Linked DNA regions of Styela clava. The protein of the gene in region 2 binds, or shares a complex with, the protein of the main gene of each other region. Links are inferred from orthologs where the notes say so. Each region holds a gene or a part of one and is shown on either strand. Other genes may lie near its edges. The genes, in order: methylmalonic aciduria type A protein, mitochondrial-like; methylmalonyl-CoA mutase, mitochondrial-like.

The links.
Region 1: the proteins of methylmalonyl-CoA mutase, mitochondrial-like (region 2) and methylmalonic aciduria type A protein, mitochondrial-like are in contact, whole or in part, in a crystal structure (PDB 8GJU), measured with the Homo sapiens proteins. The link is inferred for Styela clava from reciprocal best matches to the Homo sapiens genes MMUT and MMAA. Residues at the interface, in NP_000246.2 of Homo sapiens: Lys496, Glu609, Arg610, Glu611, Gly612, Arg613, Arg614, Arg616, Ala635, Thr636, Ala639, Asp640, Gly642, Phe643, Asp644, Val645, Asp646, Ile647, Gly648, Pro649, Leu650, Phe651, Gln652, Glu656, Gln659, Gln660, Val662, Asp663, Ala664, Asp665; in NP_001362573.1 of Homo sapiens: Arg98, Ala99, Ala102, Glu103, Thr106, Glu109, Ser110, Thr111, His112, Ser182, Ser186, Gly187, Gly188, Ser189, Leu190, Leu191, Lys194, Thr195, Met197, Thr198, Ser201, Arg202, Met204, Tyr207, Ile208, Arg209, Pro210, Ser211, Pro212, Arg214.

Annotation. Positions count from the first base shown.
Region 1 is NC_135261.1:9,031,326-9,043,293, reverse strand, and holds methylmalonic aciduria type A protein, mitochondrial-like, read right to left. Parts: upstream 5,172-11,968; 5' UTR 5,168-5,171; coding exon 4,019-5,167; 3' UTR 1,937-4,018; downstream 1-1,936. Other genes in the region: uncharacterized protein LOC120329316, read right to left, coding at 879-990; exosome complex component CSL4-like, read right to left, coding at 6,137-6,730; uncharacterized protein LOC120329759, read left to right, coding at 7,995-8,192, 8,672-8,830, 9,292-9,483, 11,221-11,458. UniProt on the Homo sapiens protein: GTPase, binds and hydrolyzes GTP. Involved in intracellular vitamin B12 metabolism, mediates the transport of cobalamin (Cbl) into mitochondria for the final steps of adenosylcobalamin (AdoCbl) synthesis.
Region 2 is NC_135259.1:18,877,496-18,889,583, reverse strand, and holds the start of methylmalonyl-CoA mutase, mitochondrial-like, read left to right. Parts: upstream 1-6,922; coding exon 6,923-7,259; intron 7,260-7,758; coding exon 7,759-7,870; intron 7,871-8,229; coding exon 8,230-8,373; intron 8,374-9,146; coding exon 9,147-9,301; intron 9,302-9,997; coding exon 9,998-10,091; intron 10,092-10,751; coding exon 10,752-10,866; intron 10,867-11,330; coding exon 11,331-11,514; intron 11,515-12,088. Other genes in the region: MICOS complex subunit mic25-a-like, read left to right, coding at 1,734-2,273; xylosyl- and glucuronyltransferase LARGE1-like, read left to right, coding at 3,116-5,158. UniProt on the Homo sapiens protein: Catalyzes the reversible isomerization of methylmalonyl-CoA (MMCoA) (generated from branched-chain amino acid metabolism and degradation of dietary odd chain fatty acids and cholesterol) to succinyl-CoA (3-carboxypropionyl-CoA), a key intermediate of the tricarboxylic acid cycle.

The DNA.
Region 1 (11,968 bases), on a different chromosome or scaffold from region 2:
CCATGCACCATGAGAAAAATTCAATAAGAATTATTTACATATTGTCATGTGTTAAGTACACGAATAATTGAAAAAATACGTACAAATGAACAAAATCATATATTAATTATTTAACGATTTAATCCAGTTGCTTCAGATAGTATTCAATTCGATTTCAGAGAAAAAAAATATTTAAAGTGTGCCTTGTGATAATAGGCCTATATATTTATATCAGAGTATCCACTTTCTAAATCCAATGTATGCCTACGAATATGAAGAGCAGATCGACCTTAAGATTCAGTTAGATCAGAAATAGAATTAGGAGGCTTGAAATTATTCTTCACAGATTATTACTGCTAATCTACACTTATTTATCATATATATTATTAATTTATAAGTATTATCCTTATTTTGCAGCTCGTTAATAAACAAGAGGTTATATAACAATCATTTCGACACTCAAATACCCCTCAGAATTCAAAATAAGCCCTGATTATGTCACATAGTAGAACAATATTTAATAACACACAAGCATGTAAATCACTGTTCCAAATAATTTCCGAAATAATAATTTCAAATATGGAATATCAAATATATATACAAATCTGAAATGGTTATTACATAATAATTAATAAAATGATAAGGTGTAAACAATGTGTCATGTTCTCTTTTAAACAAGAACATACGTTTGATTCAAACTTCATTTTTTGTCCTAAATGCTCAAGATGACAAATTTTTTAATGTATAATCTAAGATCTATTCAAAATCAGGAATTAATCAAAATTTTTTAATACACTTGAATATCATCTCTTATTTTCAGACTTCCATGATAAAGATTCTACTTTAAAATTCATCAGAACAGTTCAAATAACAAGCCTATTTGAAAAAAAATTACATACCGGACGCAGTAGTTTCAACAGGTGTTAGTGACGATGTTCCTGTCGTATTTTCTAATAAATACAAGCTATCTTCATTCGTGCCTGCCGTAACACCTTCCCTATTGTTTGCCATCCTATTTGAAGTGAATACGGCAACTCTCTATTATTTAAAGATCGTTTTATTTGTCCGCACGAGAGAGAGATGACATAAAAATTTGACGTACCTAGCAAACAAAAGCAGGTAAGGTTATTTGTAATAATCGTATTGAAATAGTGAGATTCTCTATAAAGAGTAAACTTCTCTAAGTAAACAAGAAGTCACATTGAGTCAATGGGGAATACATTTTACACTATTATGAGTGTCATGGGACAATGTTATGTTTCCACGACAATAAGCTTATTTAGAAAATTACAGGCTTCAAAATATGAAAATACAGACTTATTAAAAATTTATGACTCTTGAATAAATCGTGTTCTCTCAGTACACATACATAAATTCACTAGTTTTTCTAAACTGTTATATTTTCAAAGAATATACATGTGAGACCTGTCTTATAACCTCTTATTTATTCATTTTGATATCTAATGAGACAATTAAACACACAATGATGTTAACTAAAATGCTTAAATGTCCATTATTACACGAAAGACATAACTTTGCTCAGTGATAAATCTTATTTATTTCTGATTGCGCATGAGATTACTTTGTGCAAATGACCAATAAAAAATCGATTTAATATAACCTCAATAATTGAGGCATAATCTGATTTCTAAGTTTAGTTATTATACTGCATTTCTAGCAAGTAGACATAACAATTTTGGAAAATCATTCTATAAAATCTTCTAGCGACTATTCCAATCCATCTGAAGTCTACTGACCTTCATAGCGCAATATAACGATTTATATATCACGATCTAACTGTTCCACAGAGAATACTGGTATGTACGATCAATATCACCAAACCTTCAATCATTGATTTAATATAAATACACGGATGGATACCCTTTCTTTTTATCTTTTTTTATTTTTGTGGAATCAAGTTTAAGGAGTCTCTCATTTGTAAAGTACTATAGTAAACCTGAAGTTTAACAAATAAAAACATTATCATTATCAAACCTAGTTAAAATATTTGTTTTGTATATTATTAGTATGATCCATGCATGATCAGACCATAATTTATTGAAGCAAAAATAAAAAAGGCAAACAATAGGTCAAGTCACACGTGAAACTATATTTAATATTCGCAAGTTTGAGCCATCTTTGTTAGATATAAGCTGTAAAATTACCCAGCTATTACATGTAATTCAATACACAACTTATTTTTAAGCCCTGTCCAACCTTGAAAAACCATGTAAATGCCAGGTAAAAATTACCACAATATAATGGGATTTTTATTAGCATACTTTGCATAATATAAGTTATATAGTACCGGCATTTATATAAGGATATTCAATTTAGAAAACAATAATGAAACAATAAATGCTTTCGCTTTCACAGGCATCAAAATTGCAAGAATAAGTTACATTCTGTGTCGGACATGCATTAAATAAAGTTCCGCTATAAGCAAACTAGTATTCTTTAGCAAGATCTGACCGCATGTTACATATACATATGTTCAGAATATTACCACCAGTCACACTCAACTCTTCTTAGAAGAATTCCAGAGCCTAACCAGAATGCCCTGCCTATATGCAACAGACTTTAGTAAATTGCATCGGTGGTTTCAGATCTTTGATCCAAACTCCATCAAGTAATAGGAGCCAAACTTAATTCCTTAATAGGATAATACCTTCTCGTTCGGAGTATTGTTCAAAGTAAACACAAGAAATACCTATCCTACAAAACTAGACTAAGCCTATTGAATCTTAATAGTTTATATCGACACCTCAAAACCAAACAGTGCTAAGTCCACTTTTCCAAAAAATGACATTTTTCAATTGCTGATTTTCCTGGACTTAGCTCTACATTTTGGTCTATTTGCCTTATCTCGAGGTGCTCTAGATCTCAAGACAGCTATGGACAAAACCCTGCTTTTTTTAGGGCATTTGAGAACTAAACAGAGCTGTGTCTACTATAGTGGACTTAGCTCTTGATAACTGCATTGTAAGTTGGGGCTAAGTCCATTTTTTGGACATAGCTCCTCTCAAAAAATATAATACAAAGCGTTAAGTCCATACCAGCCTCTATAATAACATAATAAAGGGGCCCTAAGTCCAATAAAATTGTTTCTGGTCCAGAAAATTGAGAGCCAAAAAGGGTTAAGTCCAAAAAAAAACCCCCCAAAAAAAATTGGGGCGGAGCACAAATTTTTTTATACCATCTAAATATGGCCTTCATTGTAACTTTGGTGGACCATAAAAACTAGACATCCTTGATGTAAGGTATTAGAGAAATAAAAAAAAGAAACAAAAAAAAAAATGTTTTTTGCGTTTTTCTCAAAACTAGAAAAATGGACTTAGCCCAATTTGGATTTCATGCGTCGATATTACTAAGAGTTTGAAGCAGGGAGTGGCAGCACAAGTGCAGCATTTCCTGAATAGCTTACAACAGGAAATATACATCCAGTTTACAATGCTGGCATGCTTCCGGATATATTTCATTTCAATTATCATGCCATGCATTAAATTTCCTCAGATATAAATTGATATGAATAATGGTAAATTAACGAAGAAATCAAATGTACATCAACTATTTTTTTTCTAGATTTGCGTCCCATGTTTAATAGCATTTCTCCTTAACTAATATTCCTAAATTTGAAAAATGTATCCATAGTCAGTTAATCAATTATTAATTGCAATCAATGCAATTCTGATTGAAATTTTCTACCCTAATGAGCCATATCATATGCCTCGATTACTTTATGTCCTTCATGCATAAAAATCTTTAAATTAATACATATTGAAACCTCATTATCGAATCAGTTTGTCTATAATTGGTCAACTGCCACAGGTTTTTAGTAATTCTGGTCTGTACTATTTAAAATCTCACGGAGGTAATTAGAATTCATTATAAAAATGTGTACCACACCCCCCACTTTAGAAAATATTGTACTTCACTACTTAAGAATGGACAGGGCCTTTTTGCAGCATACATCATGGAAACAAAATAATAGGAAAGTACTAAAGAATGAAGAAAAACGGCAAAATGAACTGCATTCATGTTATCTATTTTTATCATCTTTTTTAAATAAACAGTTTAATAATAAATCTGCTGCAAGGCCAGGAGTCATTTTACAATTTTTAACTTGTTCTTCCAAACTTGGAAGCGCTTTCGATACATCATAATCACTCGCAAAATCTTCCAAAATATTATCTTTTATATGATTCCACATCCAAATGGCTCTTTGATTTCTACGCAATGATTCAAAAGTCCCACTTTTAATCATTTCCTCGTGAAATATTTGCATCACGGACCACAGTTCAGAGATACCTTCTTCTGTTATAGATGACACTCTGCGTACCCGTTGTCTCCAAAAATTATGTTTACGTGGTATAAATTTCAAAGCGCTCGTGTATTCTGATTGTAGTCTTCTAGCAGCTGGAAGTAAATCGCCATCAGCTTTATTTATTACTACTAGATCTGTCATCTCTATAATCCCTCTTTTGATGCCCTGAAGTTCGTCACCACTAGCTGGTGGTATGAGCAATACAAATAAATCAGTCATGTCTGCAACCGCGACTTCACTTTGACCGACACCGACGGTTTCTACTATTATGACATCATAACCAGCGCTTTCACATAATATCATAGCTTCAGTAGTGTTTCGTGTTACACCACCTAGTGTACCCTGAGCAGGTGAAGGACGAATGTATGCTTTCGGATTACGAGACAAGTTTGTCATTCTTGTTTTATCTCCGAGAAGTGACCCCCCTGTTCGACTTGAAGAGGGGTCTACAGCTAGAATTGCGACTTTTAAATCATGTTTTTCAGTAAGGTAGCTTCCCATTGTTTCAATGAATGTAGACTTCCCTGCACCTGGGGGTCCAGAAAGTCCGATTCGAAAAGATTTTTGCGAAGATCTTGATGTTTCCGATATTACCAATTGTAGCAAAATCTGTCCCATCAATTTTTTCTGTTTATTTGTTGATTCAACTAAAGTTATAGCACGAGCGAGTGTGGCCCGATCTTTATTCTTAATTCCATTAGCAAGGTTTCGTATGTAATTAAATTCATAAGAGTCTTTAGGAAATGTCTTTGTGATGTCATAATCACCTGATAAAAATGCGTGCTTAGAGTATGGTTTTAAAGATTTGAATCGAACTGAAAGATATGGAAACGGCCGCAACGACAGCTTTTTGAAAATTAACATATTGGAAATAAAGAAAGTATTCCCTATCTAACAATCATTTGACCTGGAAAAAAAGATATGATTGTAAATGTAAGACAATTCATACAAAATGGAAATTCAATTTGAAATAAATCGTCATGACTTTGAAACTATTTTTAACAAGGACAGATTTTTCAGTTTCAGAAGTTGAATTTTCTATATTCAAATTTACAAATAAGTTTGTCAATATTGACATGAATGCAGAGAGAAACAATTCTTTTATAAAAAAAAATTTACAAACAAATCGTTTTGTTATCTTTCCAATTTCGAATGTTGATAATAAATATTGTTTAATACTCATTTTTATTTTCCATGAGCGAAACTTAGAATTTCTTCGATAACATTTCAAGCTTAATCAGAAGTTTTTTTGTGGAACTGTTTTTCTTTACTCATTTATAAATATTGTTTTAATTAAGACCACCCATTTTAATTAACATTTCCTCATTAATTTGTTTTGATAATCAGATGCCAAAATTTTAATAAAAATTAAAAATAGTGATAATAAGGACAACCAAAAATAGTGTGTTACTGGGAATGGCACAAAAAATAATAAATTTCGGAGCAACATGTGAATATCCATGGAAAATAAATACACACATTTTTATTATGTTATTTGTAACTTAAACTAAGATTTTATACTTAGTAGAATAGGCAAGTTTGAAAATTACACATCTAAACGAAGTTTGATGAATTTAACTGCAAAATTATAGTTCCAATATTCAAAACCAACCAAGTAAATAGCTGCAGCACTTTCTATCAAACGATACGATAGAATACGCAATAACAAAGAATGTTCTAATAAGGAGAGAATTTATATTGAAATGCTAGTAACCGACATGATTGGAATAGTTGACTTCGCAGAGAGCAATATTTTCAAATGAGAAGGATGAAACATCACCGATTTTTACTGAGAAGACAGGGAAACAATGATGTTTTACCAGAATCTACATCTTATTGTTTTAAATAATGTTCCTGTGGTCTTGCAACTTTACGCGATTCTTTTACATACGAAACAGGACATTGCATTTCTTGCCAACTGATAGGCAACATCAGTTCTCCGGCTTCACTACGTGCAAGAACAACACCGAGTCCATTTTCCGCTGTAGTTAACAAATAAGATGATGCATCACCTAGTGACAAAACTTTTGCTAAAACTACATCACCGGGACGAAAACATTTCGGAATTTCAACTTTTTCAATGTCCTTTGCACGTACGTCCTCACGTCTTATGATGCCTCGCAATGGCTCGGACAACCTCGCGTTATTAACGGCTGTAATTAAACATTTTGCAAAGCGACCGCTGATTCCTGTGACTTTACAAGTGACTATGGAATCGATTTGTGGGAGAAGTTGTTGATGGTGCTTGGATCGCACAGATACAGTAATTATATCCTTGTCATTTTGTTCGCTCCGAACCATGCCAGCTAATGATGCAAATATATATCCTCGTTTTACATAAGTTCCAAATCCTGCCCGATGGTGTTCAGCACTTGCGAGACGTTCCCCCGGCACACATATTTGACTGCTTTTCAATAGTTCTGCCATTTTTATTTAGAACTGTCTGGAACTAAAAAAATAATGAGCCATGAAAATATATAGGTAACTTAATATACTGATATAACTGTATAATGGCCAAATACGGGAATAAGCGTTTTCAATTCAATTTTTAATTTAAATCAGTAAATGAACAAACATGCAGAAATGGTCATACAGTCATAGAAGAGCATGGGGGTTTCAGAATGCAGGAATGTGTCATATTGAATTTCATCTAAACCTGCCTACATAAAAAAAAATATGCTGATCTACATGCTATGAATCAATCATTAAATGCTCATTTTAAGTCTTAAATTTTATCATTTCGTCGGTATATATAAATAATAAAAGTCAGCCTGACATCAAATTTGACAGGAACATGGGAAATCCCCCAAAATTCCAATGCATCCACATTGCCAGCGAGGGAGGCATGGCTTTTTCACAAGATCCAACGTGCTACACGAGCGACATATAGCGATAAGAAATATGAATATTGGGAAAAGTCGTTGTTTACAGATAATTTGTATTTTGAATATTTGTATTTACATATTTCAAAAACAATCATGTTATTTTAGATGAGGAATGCAAAATACTTTTGGTTTTAAGATGACAACACGGCACAAGAAAAATGCGAAAATGTAACGGGATTCCCCTACGCTGAAGTACCCTTTGTCATGGTTACAACTCACAACCCTTACGAGGTTCAGCTTCGTAAATATTTCAGTAAATTTAGGTATGCATTAGATTTTATCATTGGGGAGAACAGTTACCCTTTTTAAACTAAACACGAAGGGGGATGGATATTTCTGATTACAATCCAATGTCAAAGTTTTAACTTTCAACTTAATAAACTTATAAATAAATTTATAAATATAAGTTATATATAAACTTACAAAAAAAATTATACTATTATAACTGCCCGTACGAATTAATATTCATGAATAGAAATTTTCAGTCACTTCATATAACTACCTAATCTGAATCATGAGTCAAAATCGGTTACAGTAGTTTGTTCATTCTATTAATCGGTAAAAAAGGTATATTAATCTGCAAAATAGGGAGTAAAATAAATGATAAAATCAGATCAAAGAATAGGAATAAGGTTTAAATTTTTTTATAGAAATGGTTGGTTTTTCTCATCCTAGGATAAGTATAAAAGCTCGGAACATGGTAATGAATATAATAAGCTACAGTCAATCCTGCATTTCTTTTTCATAGATTCACATTATGTCATAGATTTCCAAGTTAAATTTCATAAAAGCAAATAAACAATCGAATGGCGAAAAAGGGCAAAAAAGGAAAGGGAGGGAAAAAGAAATCAAAAAGAGTGAAATGGGATGAAGATTCAGATATTTATCAGAAGAAATTTTTAGGAACGTATGAAATGCAATGCACGCTTGATAAATCCATACCCTGTGTTTGGTTACAAAAAGCATTGAAGAAAGGAATTGAAGATAGAATGTATGCGAGAAAGGTGATTGGTCGAAAATTTTTGCAATAACATTAGCGATTTTTTATTTTTTTTATTTCTTCGTGTTTTATGAACTCGTTTGCCAAAATTCGGCAGCTATATTTATGGCCAGTATTCAGATTTTTGTCTAATATTTCTTTCTATCCGGTTTAGTGTAATATAAAAATTGAAATGGGCCAAAAAGGTTTTTCTCAACAAAATGGTCAATGCTAGGTTTAGAATGTCAGTCAAGGGCTGAATATTTTAATTCAATTTCTAGTTCGTCTGCTACCCTATCCCATGAATAAACACTTCGGTAAAAGTATAATATGTATATGATTTTATAAATTAATGTGGGAAAAAGCCGATACGAGGCCTCATTCAAATGATAAACCATTGTATTGTTACCAGTCATTGTAAGGTAGAAGATCTTCTATTCATCAGAGTAATAATTTGTTTAAAAAATATTTGATTTTAAATAAAATTCTACGCTTCCATTTTAGTTCATTATTGAAGAAGTTGATGTAGGAATGAAAGATCCTAATACTCCTCCGGTAAGGTTGCGACCTGTCGTCCGATCAATTCGTAACGAAAGATTCACTCATGTTCATGAAATATGTTGCTGGGATTTAGAAACAGAACATGATGAAGTTGCTGACTTGGTAATTTTATTTTATTCGTCGACTCATATTTTATTTATTAGGATCAAACATGATCCTAACACTTAGCACGATGCGCCAAACACTGAGCTGTTTTTCATAATATATCACAATAGATAACAATTATAATATCATATTTAAAAATGGTCTTCAGGGAAAAAAATGGGCATTTCAGAAGTATCTATACCAATATGGAGGTAATTAATTTTGTCCACCTACTTTACATCAAGTTGTGTAGAGAGACTGTAACCTATGGGCAGGGAGTATATTCACTTGGCTAACGCAGACAGTCCCTGAAATGGTATTAGGCAGACACTTCCTGAACTCGTAATAAAACTAAAATAAGGAAAATCGAAATAAAATTATGGCCTGGTATACACATTACGGAAGTACCAAAAATGTGTATGAAAGTGAAAAAATATTTGCTTTCTAAATTAATGATAATATTAAATATTTCATAACAGGCACTACTTCTGGAAAAAGGTTTTTATCCAGTAAGAAGAATTGAGCTCATGGATTGTGACATTCAACATTTCACTGTTGCCAGATTTTCTAAAGCATTCAGGGTTTCAAATCTTGTTGAAATCAACTTAGATTACAATGAATTTGGTGATGCAGGATGTGTTGGTTTATGCAATGGACTCAAGAATAACAAGGTAACTGTTATCATTGATGTACTGGGATGTTTAGTAATAGTAATTTGAACCTGACTCCAAACTCTGAGCAATTTAAAAACTATGACTCCAACTTTAGTTTGCGAAGAACTTTTGACTCTTTTGTGGTGTGTTGATCATGCTTTGTCAACATAATTCCTTATTTTCAGTTTTGGCCAAAATTTTGACTTTGATTAAGTAATGAATGAGAAATATAGTACCTTGATATAAGGCTTTATTCAACTTAAATTTAAAGCCCACTCAGAAATTAGAATGAATCTAAAGTAAAATATAACACAAGTAAATGTTATTAAACAAGAAAACAAATACGTATCGAATTGCTGATGCTAACAGTAAGCGGCTCAATAGTTAAATGAATAAAGTTGAAAGAATTAACACACTACATCTACAGTACAGCAATGATTGGTGTCTGATTTAAAATGCTACAGCAATCATCGCTTGACTGCAGATATATATATAAACAAAGGGATACATTGACTTGCATTTTCAAGTTGTCACAGATTAGGACTCTTTTAGGTCTGAAATTTCTACTTCCACCCTTGGGAGTTTGAAACATCCTCCAATATCGATTATAAGATGTGAAAATGCCCACCAATGCTAATGCAAAAGTGTAATTTTACACTGAAAAATTATTCTATATTAAATACAAAGTTATACCATTCAGTGTTTGAAGATTTGACGTGGTAATTTATATCTTATGTCCACATTGCCGGCTCGGCGGTTTGGTAAATCGTTTCAAGCGCTAGGAATACGCTTGCCACCGCACCTCTGATTACCCTGCATTGGTTCGCATGTTCTAATCTTGTGGGGTTATTAACCCTTTCTGTGCGGTGGGCACGTATACGTACCCACGACAAAACTCGCTAGTTTGCGGCGGGTACGTTGATGTACTCCACTGTTTTATTTAGCAATCGGTCGCAAACTGTTGGTCTAGTTTTTCCGGGTTTTAGTTTATTGATAAGAAGTCTTCTTCGAGATTAACATAAGCGACGGTAAATCTCGCTTTCGTTTACCATGGGAATTTTATTTGCGGCGGAACGAGGGAGTATTTTTGAAATTTATGCAAATTTCGGTGTTTTTTGGGTGGTAATAGAAGACATATTATTCCTTCCATCTACCAAAGTATTTTGAGTTAGATAACGAAATTGCTACAGCAATATTATGCTATTGTTTGCCAACCAAGAAGCGGTAACAGTAAAGGATTTAGCGAATATTTCTATTTTTTTTCACGGTTTGAAGTTTCAACACCCAAGAAAAAAAATGCCTTTTTTCTATCCGGTTTGTGACTCAGACCACCCCTTTTGAAAAAATAAAATTTTCAATCGCCAATTGCAAGCTCTTTAAATAAGCTTTCCAACGAGCCGTCAGTGGGCAGCAGAGGATCATTACTTTTTCGTTAGTCGATCGATTAGTTGTGGGGGTACAAATGCATAAAGTCGGTGTAGCAAATACGATTATTTAATAAAAGATAAAAATCGCATGGAAAGGGTTAAATATGTGCGAGAAAATTGCGAGACTCCGAATCGCCATAGCGGTTATGGCTTCCTCCAATATCAACAAACAACTGGGCCATCTAATCTATACCAAATATGGACTGGTAACAAGAGGAGTTGCTGTGGTTCAGAATATGATCAAGCTGTAATATTGACCTTCCTCTCCCCTCTTCATTAGAACTATAAACAATCTATCTTCCTTTATTTCTTCATTTTTATTTGATAGATCATGCTCTCTATCAGCCTCTGTTATTGTGGGTTAACGCCAAAGAGTGGTGAACCACTAGGTGAAGTATTGTGCAAAACAACAGTACGAGAATTTTTTCTTGACGGCAACCAACTACAATGTGATGGTGTTATTGAAATGTTACGATACGCTGCTGCTAACGCTGAACATGAAAATAGTCAACGAATAGAAGAAGAAAAAATGAAAGCATTGATGATTGCTGAAGGAGCATTAGAAAGTAAGATTTTGTGATGATGATATTTTCACTGTTGATAACCGTGTTTTCCCAAAAATAAGACCTACTCCGAAAATAAAACTTAGCCTGAATTTTAAAAATGATTTCAATATAAGCCCTCCCCTTAAAATAAAACCTAGTCAATAACGCAAAATTTTTTTTAACCTAGTCGATTGCAAGCAATCTCTTCTACTCATTTTAAATGATTGATAGTCTATGTTTTGCAGTTATTTTGAATAAAAAAGTGTTATTATATCGGTTTTCATATTTTGTATATTTCAAAATCTCGCAATTCTCTACTTTGTAAGTTTGTTTTCGGTAAATGAAAATATAATACATACCCCGAAAATAAGCCCTAGTGTTATTTTTTGGAAGAAAATTGAAATAAAACCCAGTGTTATTTTGGGGGAAACATGGCATACACTTCGAATATTCATAGAGGAGACATTTTTAATGAATGCCTGTGAATGTTACCACCTTTCTTTATTAGCTTTATTAGTTAATTTATAATAT
Region 2 (12,088 bases):
TGTCACAAACTAAAACTATCTTAAAAATATCTTTTAAGTATACATTATCAAAAACTGTTTGCGGCTCTTTTTACAATTTTCAAAATGCAATGCGGCTCTCGAAAACCCATGAGTTTGACACCACTGATCTATTCTAGACGATTCAAGCATTGCTTTGGGAAATTATATCACTTCAATTAAATTGAAATAATCTCGCTATATTAAATACAAAATCGTTGCTATCATAAAGGTAAACCAATTCAGCCACTCGAAATATATTGGCCTTCACAAAGCAATGGAGGCAAAATTGAGAGTTCATGAGCTATGAACATTTGTTCTTTTCTTTGTCTTGAACTTTCCATACTCCACAGCCCATATTAATTTTTTTTAATTTTAATTACCATGTGATGGTCATACATATCTTTAACTTGTATTTTCTGTCATGATGTATTATCTCAATGTGCCAAACTATTAATTAGTGTGCATATTTTGCTTCCAGATGACATAAATGTATTGTCATGTTTATTACCTCAGCTTGGAGTATTGACAAGAAAAAGGTGCCAGTAAATTAGGTAAAAAAATTTTCAACTCATTGTTATAATCAGAATTCACAATCAATAGGAATTATAAACAGCCAACAATCAGTGAGAATTATATGCGAAATCCCTCAGAATAAATTTGTCTAAAATCGGAGGAAGGCAAAAAATATAGGTAGTTTCCATCCACACAAGCATTTCAAGAAGACTTGCTCGAGCCAAACTAAATGAGCATCGTCAGGTGATCGGTAAGGCTGCAAGCTGAATTCAGCCCTGCAACCTCCTGCATAGAAGATAATATTAATTAGTGGGGTATGAGCTAAATTCCTAAATTTAAACAAACCTATCTACGATGCATTATGTACCAGCAATGTTACCTACGATTAACTGAATATGTAATATGTCTAATAAATTCACCTACAAAAGCAAGTTCGATAGGTGCAAACTTTGTGTTATGGAATTGTATCGCAGAACAGTTTTGTATGACACCCTCTTTAAATGAAATTTCAATGATTAAGCGCAAACATTAAAATTACTAACTTTGAACTTTGTCATTATCTGCAAAATGTTCCACACAAATCTTTCCGCTATCGCGTTTGTAATCTTCTCTGATAAAAAAAAAAACACTATGATGTCCAGAATTGCTCTTTACAGCTTGCCTGTTATTCCAGCTTTCCAAGTAAGCAAAACTTCTTAGATATAGAGATTATTTTGTTTCGTTACAGGCGCAAAAGGCAGGTACTACACGTAAAAAAGACGCCGAGTAGCAAAAGCGAGCGGAAAACGGACGCGAAAGGCGACGAGAAATATGTGCATTGGAGCGTATCACGAAATACAATGTTTTGCCTGTAGTCTTATGGAGTGACGTCAGAGTTGCCTATCATGTTGTTTAATGTCATTGCTCAAACATAGTAGTGTGAGGGGGGAGTTGACTTTGATGATCGCGTGGTCGTATCACTCCCTCCTATCTATACCAAATTATTTTATTGTTATAATTTCTATTATTTCGATGACTGCTATTCTACTTTGGTTGAAGAAATAATTAAAATCTTTCTCTGTGTCCAAAAATACAATGCGCTTGACCTCTCCTGCGATTTTCAATGAAGCATACAGTCACGTGCAAAAATATTGTCATGCTTGGTCAGTTTACACAATTTGCTCTCAGACTATTGCTGTTTCTGTCGACTTTCAAGGTCGCATTGCTGAAATTATTATAAAATGGGAAATTCTGGAAGTAGCGACGTTACATTGGAACGAGAAGACGACAAATATGTATTAACAGGTGATGGGATTAAGCTATCTCCGGCTTTATTGGACCGAATGCTTAGCCAAGAAACGGAGAACGAAAACAACGAAGATGTCGAGCGGGTTAGAAAGGCGGCTGCTGATGTTATTGTCAAAGAGCGACAAAAGCTGGAGGAAGTCGAGAGGGTTGCAACTGCAACTCGAGAATTGCTGCAGGAGCGGGAAAAACAGATGACTGATTTGGTGGAAACATGGAAGGATAAACTGGAAAATGAAAAACAAAAACATAAAAACTTTTATGACCTCACTATTCAAGAATTTGAGGACGCTGTCAATCAAACCGAAAGTAAACTTAGAAAACCTTCGTTAAAACCAATATGTGAGAGTTTTCGAGATTCTGTTTTACAGTGTTACGCAGAAAACCCCAAAAAAATTTTAAACTGTTCTAAAACTGTTGCAGAATTTACTAAATGCGTTGAAAATACAAAACAAGATCTGTTAAATAGGAATTAACTTTAGAGCAATTGCAGGTAATTTTTTGGTTCAGTGCTGTACATTATCACACTTGCATAGAAGATATAACTTACGTGATAAAGCGAATTATCAGAATATTTCTATCTTGATTGAAGTGACATTATTCCTGTATTCTGACAGTTTATATAAATCAAAATTTGGTATTTTAAATATCTTGATTCTGCTTGTTTCTTGTGTTATATTACAGACTGCAAAATGCTGGTGACGTGTTTTATTTGGTATTCCAAGACACGTTAAATTGACAGGATATTTTTTACTGTCATTTCTATTTCAGTTTCTTATTCTTTTTGTGATGCAAAAAGGAACATATTTTAAAGGTTATCCTGGAACTGGAGCAATATAGAAAAACACTGAGGCACCAAGAATAATAGTTGTATTATTTCTATTAGCAGCATGACATGCACCTACTATGTCTTGTTTATCAAATCAATCAAACAATCAATTTATTCGGTAGCCTATTTTTTCTTGTGTTAACATTTACAATTGATATTCATACTTTGGTTGTTGATTATTGAATGACTATTTTATTGAATGTTTTCATTTCCAAAGTTTCATAATCTTCAATAATCAGCAGAACTCTAATAATTGTGTTTGCGTTTTTCTCCATCTTTCTGCTTATGAGAGTGCTATCGTTAATTGATTGAAAAATTTTATGGGAAAGGAAAATTTGTGCCATGGATTGCAAACATCTTGACAAGTACTTTTCTTTTTTCAGTAACAGTGTTGTTTTAAAATAGTTGAAATTATTATGACACTCGGCAATATTTCCTATATTAAAAATATGTGAACAATGGTAAAACATTCACTGGTTGGCTGGAAGCATGAATGCTACTTTCTGGAGATACACAACAAGAAGAAAATTGATTCTACTATTCTGCATCTTGGTACTTATTCTTGTAGTTTTTGAGATAAAGAAATCGTCATTACTTTATGGAACTAATAAGATTAAAAAACCCAGACAAATGTCATATTTTGAAACGGCGGAGGAGTCTCATGTAGAAGTGTATAATGGATTTTTAACAGAAGAAGCGGAAAAATGTGAAACGATACAAATTGCAGTTGTTTGTGCTGGATATAAAGCGAGTAGAGAAGTCGTTACTTTGATTAAATCTGTGCTTTTTCACAGACACTTGCCCATTCATATGCATTTTATTGTCGATGCACCTGCTAAGAAAATATTGGGTACTTTGTTTCGGACATGGGATGTTTCGGATTTTACGGTTTCTTTCTATCTTGCTGATAAATTAGAACCAAAAGTGTCCTGGATTCCTAATTTGCATTATTCTGGTGTTTACGGCCTAATGAAATTACTGTTATTGGATGTTTTACCAGTGGGAATTGATAAAGTAATAATTCTGGACATCGATTTAATATTTCTAGAGGATATTGGGAAACTCTGGGATCAGTTTTCTCAATTTGTTGACAACCAAGTAATTGGTCTGGTTGAAAACCAGTCGGACTGGTATTTAGGCAAAGTGACCAAACATCCTTGGCCTGCCTTGGGACGTGGCTTCAACACAGGCTTGATGCTTTTACACTGTGAAAAACTGAGACAGATTAAATGGAACGAAATATGGGAAAGTGTAACAAAAAAAGAACTGTTGACATTTTCTGCAACCGCCCTTGCTGACCAAGATATAATAAACGCTGTGATTAAGGAACATCAAGATACTGTTTTTATTCTTCCCTGCTTCTGGAATGTTCAATTATCTATGAATACAAATTCAGAATCGTGTTATGGGAAAGATATATCAAGTATCAAAGTTCTACATTGGAATTCACCATTTAAAAATGAATTACAGAACATTCATGCCTCGTTGTTCCAAAACATGTTTTATAGTTACGCAGTGTATGATGGTGCACTATTGCGCAATCCTGTTGGCAAATGCACCGAAGTAGAAGAAAGCAGAGAAGAATTTAGCAAAGATTTTTGTCAAGAAATGTTGCATAAAAGTGTACAGCTGCGTAGAACACATTTATATTACCTTCCTTTTGACTACATTTCTTCCGATCACACAGATGTTACTTTAACTCTTCACTTATCGATAGATCGAATCCCAATGTTAGATATTATATGTAAACATTGGGAAGGTCCGATCAGTGTTGCAGTCTTTCTAAGCGATTCTGACACAATAAAATTACTTAAACATATTGAAATTTCTCCCACATTATCAAATCGTAGAAATATTGGTTTTCATTTGGTTTTTCAGAATTTTGATGATACTTCTTATCCTATTAATCTATTGCGTAATATTGCTTGGCAGCAAGCAGTTACTGAATTTGTATTTTTATGTGATGTTGATTTTTTACCTTCTGATAATTTATATGAGCATTTGAAAAATGCTGTCTTGCCATTGTATCCAAATTCTTCAAAGTTTGCTTTTATTATTCCTGCTTTTGAAAGTTTGTGGCACAAGTTTGATTTTCCGCCTTCGAAATCTGAACTGATAGACCAATGGGATAGAGGTGTAATAACACCTTTCCGATCATACATGTGGAAGGTTGGCCATGCCGCAACAAATTATACAAAATGGAGAAATTCCAATAAGATTTACTCGGTAAATCGAACAAAGGATTTTGAACCTTATGTTGTGTTACCGAAACATCTTTGTCCGGCTTATGATAAAAGATTTTTCGGTTTCGGTTGGAACAAAGTTTCTCATATAATGGAACTGGATGCTTTAGGTTTTAAATTTTTAGTTTTACCTTATGGTTTTGTCATTCACTTGCCACACATGGCCAGTCTTGACGTTGTAAAATATCGCTCATCAACTGAATATAAGAATTGCATTGACAACCTAAAGGTTGAATTTATACAGGATTTAGTTGTTAAATATGGAGTCAGTGCAGAATTTTTTTATTAAAATCCTGTCAAACAGTATTATTTGCTTATTCAGCATAATTTTTTTCACTTTTGAATATAGAAGCTACTGATTGATCTGAAAGTCACTGAATTACCAACATTTTTAGCCTAATTAAATAAATGTCATCTTTTTCTTTGTAAAAATAAAACTGCCTTCATTACTGCGTTCCAAACTTGCTGGTCAAGTGTATATTTTTTTGTGAAATTTGTGTTATTGAAAAAGGCTTTTATTAATTCTTATTTAACTTATGACAATTAACGAGAACATGGTGTAGGGTCATTGCACTGATTTCTCTTCACTGTTGTCCATTGTATGATGCGGTAATCACCTTATTAACAATGTTTACATATGTCTAATATGTTGTTCATAAATTGGCCTCTGCAGCCGATTTAATCATTTGCATATTCAATGTGTTGTAGTTTGCTCAAATGTCAGAGAACTATAAATAATAGATGAGATCCCAGATTAATATATGGGCTTGGTATATAAGGGCAGAGGTCATGTAAGCCACACTAAGATAACAAAAACTACACTAATCTTCTTGCATATAACCATCCCCATGAGGTTGAAACCTGTAGAATGTTATGTGTGGTATGTTCCTAACGCTCCGACAGCACAACGGACACATATTGTTTTGCATGAATTTGTACACTCGCTATTGTGATATATTTTCTTTTGAGTAATCTTACTGACTATGGTGCTTTTTTGTATCTGTTTAAAATTCATTTTGCACATTCATTTATATCTTTAGTTGAAGAGCAATCCGTTAGAAAATGAATTTAGAGATGCCTACTATGTTATAATATCTTTTTTTTTGGAATACAGTTTTTATATTTTTGAGACATTTCTGTAAAATACCTGTTCTGCATTTTGGTATAATTGTCCTTTGCTGTGTAATTTCATAATAAGTGTTTGGTAATTTTAGAAAATAATAGCAAAATAATATTTTCAAATATATAATACCACTTACCAGATACAGATAAAGGGAAGGCTGCTGTAAATTTAGCTATGAAAACTCTTCAAGTTCTACAAGTACCCTTGTTTTAATTTTTGCTGTTCCGGTTAAAATATTAAAAATCATAATTACAATAGCAAACTCACATGATGCGTTTGATATTGTTGTTGGTTATGCTTATGACACTGGTGTTGACATCCCAAAGAGAAAGCACAAGCTTAAATTTTTCTCATCCTTGTTATACCTAATCATATTTTGGTGCTCCAGGAGTGTGTGTACCAATCTGGCAGTAACTATTTTCGTTCGCCTACTTTACATCAAGTTGTGTAAAAGGACTGAAACATATGGGCTGGGGGTATATTCACTTGGCTAACACAGACAGTCCCCGAACTCGTAATAGAACTAAAATAAGGAAATCGGTATAAAATTATGCCCTAACCCTAACATGGTAAACACACTACGGGAGTATCCATGTTTTAATGTCAATTCATATAAATTACTTTTTTACCGTCTTATCATTTTCACTGAAATGACTTTAGGCTATCAGTTAACATCAATATGCTGGTATTAAATTTTTTGAACATATTGAACTTGCCTCAATTGTCGATTTGTGATAACTTATTATTCGACAAAATAAGTCTCAGCTCAAGCCCGAAAACAAAGCAAAAAGTGACAGCATCAGCACTTGCATATTCAGATAACATTATTCCGAATAGTTATGCTTGAGTTGTTTTTGGTGGTTGAGTCCGAATGGTACTAAGGTAACCCAAACCTCTAATTTATGTCTCGATTCATATTTTTATTTGTTCATGTTAAATAATGTGTTTTCTTACTTTGACTCAGTATTAAAATTTTGTAACTCAAGTGATTTGTCTTCTTTTGTAGAAACTAAAATGGATAGAATAATTTTTACAAAGGATTTGTTAAAGATAGCAAACGTTAAACGATTATTCCTAAAATCCATCCGCTCTTCATCGAACAAAAATCCTCAGCTGCCTTTAAATGAAGAATGGATGGCTTTGGCAACAAAACAGTTAAAAGGAGCTGACCCAGATAAGAAATTAACATGGACAACACCAGATGGCATTAAAGTGAAACCACTTTATTCGAAAGATGACTCCAGCAACTTTGAAGATGAATTACCAGGTATTTTTCATACTAACCATCTAGGCCTGATATGGACAAACTATGGCCCGCGGGCCAAATCCAGGCCCAGGAACAAATCCGGCCCATTGGGTAATTCAATCTGGTCTGCCTGATGTTGCCACAACCAAACAAACGTTTTAGCTAAAAATAGCTCAAGTTATATAATGAGATTGCAATTAAATTTAGTTTTCGCATGAGGCTTACTGTTTTCCACTTTTGCTTTTGTAACACTGTAAATATTGCGCATAAAATGTAACTTTTTACGTCACAATTACATGGCCAGCCAGTTTAGGTGGGCACGCTCACCCCTGGGTTGAACTGTTCTGTCTGGTTAAAGATCCCAGTCTTAATTCCCATATCCACTCCTGATTTATAAAGTTTTTGGGCAATGCCGAACCTGACCAACCCTCTTCCAAAAATAGCTTTTTCTATTTCAGTGACTTCTTGTCTTCCTTGTTCCTTCCATAAGCAAAACAAAAAATATTTACTAAATTTTCAGGCAAATATCCATACACCAGGGGACCATATCCCACGATGTATACAAACAGACCTTGGACTATCAGGCAATATGCAGGATTTAGCACTGTTGAACAAAGTAATAAATTTTATAGGTGAGTCTGTTACTGCTTCTTTATGTTTAAAAAGGCATGGGTAAAAATACATATGGGATTTTTTACTGTTGTCGCTGCGCTAAAAAATCTTGCGCCATTTTGCCCAGTGGCCGGTGCTCTTTATTACCGTGAGGCTAAGCGATGGCCTTTCGCTAAATTTTTTGTGTGGTCCAGCTAGATGTCTTAAGTTGGTTATTTGGCCCACACCGCACACCGACAAAAAATGTTGCACACTCCTTTATTAGAACAATCTCTTGGCACTAAAGTTGGTAATGGCCATTTAAATGGCTTTCAGAGCTATGTTTGGAGAAAACTCATTAAACGGGTGAATTTACCATTCAAATTGAAATGATTTTCAGAGACAATATAAAAGCTGGGCAGCAAGGACTGAGTGTTGCTTTTGATCTGGCAACCCACAGAGGATATGATTCAGATAATATAAGAGTGCAAGGAGATGTTGGAATGGCTGGTGTTGCAATCGACAGTGTGGAAGACATGAAAAAGTAAGCTAGATTGATATTTGAATGGAATAGGAGTGGGTACAGGGTGTCCACCATAAAGTGTCCAATTTTGTTATGGAGTCAGTTCTCAATACCGGGTTTGTTGTTTTTCGATCAGTAATTGTTATTTTTACTTCATTTAATACATCTATGAAGGCCAAAGCAATATATGGAATCGATAAATTCACTTTGCAATTTGAAAAAAATTTAGAGACTTCATTGACACCATATATAATAAGTTCTTTCATGTGTTTTGGATGCTCAATTTTATTTCTTTCAGTTAGTCCGTCAATGACTGCATCATAGGCTCAAAATTTGGAGTGTCATGTAAAGTTTCCGCTATCCACTATGTAGCCATTTATAAATTCCCCGAAATATCTCCTCTGCGTCGACCTTCTTGATACCCTGAAACCACTCATGAATCTAATAAATATACTCTATCTAGTAACATTGAGTTTTATTACAATTAAATATAAGTTGATGTGGAAGAGGGCTTTGGGAATTCTATTATTGGTTATTACATTGGTGACCATTAGGGCATTGGTCATGATTGGTATAATTTATTAATGCAATAGGCATACCAGGACATGGTAAAAGTTAATGGCATAGTGTTAGCACATTGGATTGGCCTGTCCCATGCCCATAATCTTGTACAAGGTAAATAAATTAGGTAACATACAGGTGGAATGTTACTGCTTGTCTTATTTGCATTGGCAGTTCACTTATAAAAATCAGTGGATTGGATGTGAACAGTATATCTATTGGAATTTTTACAGGTTATTTGAAGGCATTCCTCTCGATAAGATGTCAGTATCAATGACAATGAATGGAGCCGTCATTCCCATCATGGCCATGTTCATTGTTGCTGGGGAAGAGCAGGGTGTGAGTGCTGATAAGTTAACTGGGACAATACAGAATGATATTTTGAAAGGTGGGAGAAATATTTTGTCATAGTATAACATGTCAATAATTGTTGCCTTCAAATAAAAATCCAATTTTGTGAATATAACAGAGCACTATGTAACCGAAAGTGAGCGACATAAAATAGTAAAATGAATTTATTGATTGAGTCATAACACAGCAAAAAAAATACATTTATAATAAATACAATATGTAAAATATGCAATCCCATATTAGTTATGTTTAACACAATTATGTTTATTCTCGGGGCACACCTAGCAAATCACCGTTGTGCACTAGCGCCCTCTTTGGAAACCGTTGTCATAGGCCTTCCTTAAGATCTGCGATTATTATTAGCAAAAAGTGCTCTTAGCCCTTGGCCGAAAAGCATTAGAGTTAGAAATTTCAAACTACAGACTATAAGAAATTTGCAAATACAACTTTACAACTCTGTATATGTATATTTTTGACAGTGGATCATGATTTTTATCAAATCAATATCTTGATGTAAAACAGTTTTCATTCAAAATATTTAAAACAATATTTATATCCCGCTAAGATTTCACTTTACACAAGCAGTGAGTGGTAAAAATTTCCATTTTCAACCACATCTATGGCCCAAGCCACAGAAGATGTTCTGTGATGCCGGTACTTTGTCCTGCAAAAATAACTTGATATTACCGGTAATATGATGCACCTTGTATGAATCATGTATTTGTTTTTCCAGAATTCATGGTAAGAAACACTTACATCTATCCTCCTGAACCATCAATGAGGATAATATCGGATATATTCGCGTTCACTTCAAATAATATGCCAAAGTAAGTAATACATACATTCTGGAAGTTGTGTTTGTTTGTTATAATCTGCTGTACATTTGAGAGCTAGCTCACATGCAAAGGCACATTTGATCGAGAGAGGCAGAAGTAATCGAACTTCAGTTCCCCAATGTCATGGCATGTCTATGGCACTACGTTTTCTATTAATTGAATAGTGTGCAGTCCTGTACACTACTCAATCAAAATCACATCTGTATTTTTTTGGTAACATTTCTCTTTCAAATTTTTTTTCATGATTGAAGATTTTAATGTTTTTAGCATAACTCTGACTAATTTCACTTCCATCATCCAGCATTTTGTTCTATAATCCTCAACACTTTCACTGAACCCCTTCACACACACCCTGGTCGCTACTCCTGAAGTATGTGAACCAAGATGGCGGACATCGGAACGTAGTATGCATACCAGGTTAGGGTTGGGCCATAGTTTTTTTCCAATTTTTCTTATTTTAGTTCTATTACCGGGACTAGCCGAGTGGCTCTCGTAGTATTTGTACCTGAAATTAGGGCCTAACCCTAACCTGGTGCACATACTACATTCCGGTGTCCGCCATCTTGATTCACATACTTCGGGTAAACCCCCTGGCCATCCTTGACATCTGCACTATCAGAATTCATTTTCACCATAAGATTTATGTTTCAGGTTCAACAGTATTTCTATCAGTGGTTATCATATGCAAGAAGCCGGTGCTGACACCGTTCTTGAATTAGCCTATACAATTGCTGATGGCATCCAGTATTGCAAAACTGGAATTCAGGTTAGTAAGTGTTCAATTTTGATTTATTTTCTTCATGCTTAAATAAACAAACCCTGATAGAATAGTTGCAAGCAAGCAATCTCTGAGAACTTGCACTATTCAGTCCCAATTAGTGGAGAGGGAAAGTTTGAGGTGCAATTTTGTTTTTTAGGCATGAGCCATCTTATAAACTAAACTGAATTTAATTGAATTTATGTTCAATTGAATTGAGTTTATCTCAGATTTGTCTCATGTGACTTAAGGTGTGTGTCAAGGAATAAAATCTAATATTTCAGTATTGCTTTTCGAAAAAATTTGTTATATTGAGTAATCAAAGTTATTCTAATTTTCTTTGAAATCCTGATCTATGTGCATTCATTATAATTTTTTTTAAATCAATTTAAATATTGATACTTAATGGAATATTTATTATAAAGCCTTTATCACCATAATTTTTCATTTCATAATTATTTTATTTTTTGCAGGCAGGTTTAGACATTGATAACTTTGCACCACGATTATCTTTCTTCTGGGGAGTTGGAATGAGCTTTTATATGGAAATAGCCAAGATGAGAGCAGCTAGAAGATTATGGGCTCACCTTATCACAGACAAATTTCAACCTAAGAATCCAAAATCATGTTTATTGCGAACGCATTCACAGACTTCAGGTATTGAATTTGATTTTTTCATAGGCCTTCACTCTGAACAAGACTCAAACAGAAAGTACTATGTATATATGGCTACTTTCTTTTGGAAGAAATGGAATCTTTCTGGTTCACCATTGGCCATCCGATTTATTACATCTTTGGTGAGGTCATGGGTCAATGCTTCAACCACCTGTGACCATCGCACATTTTCTTTGAAATTTTTAACTCGATAGGTCGATATGATATTTCAAAATCAAAGTCATATTTTTGCTGTTTGATTTGAGGGCTCATAATGTGAAAATACAACTGAATCAGTTCATATTTGTTGGAATAATTTGATTGGTCATACCAAAGTTGTGTTGTCTAACATTCATATTGAAAACTGTCAAGTTACAATCAGTGTATAATTAGTAAATGCCATTACTGTAGCCTGTATTTACTCCAATAAACTACCAACATAATTACACATCTGACGCAAGGAAGTTCATTAAATCAAATAGTTTCACTGGCTTCTTATCAAGGTAAATTATTCCCTTGGGAAGTCAGATTACACCTTGGAATATCTCAAATTTTAATAGGTACCTAATTAGACTTC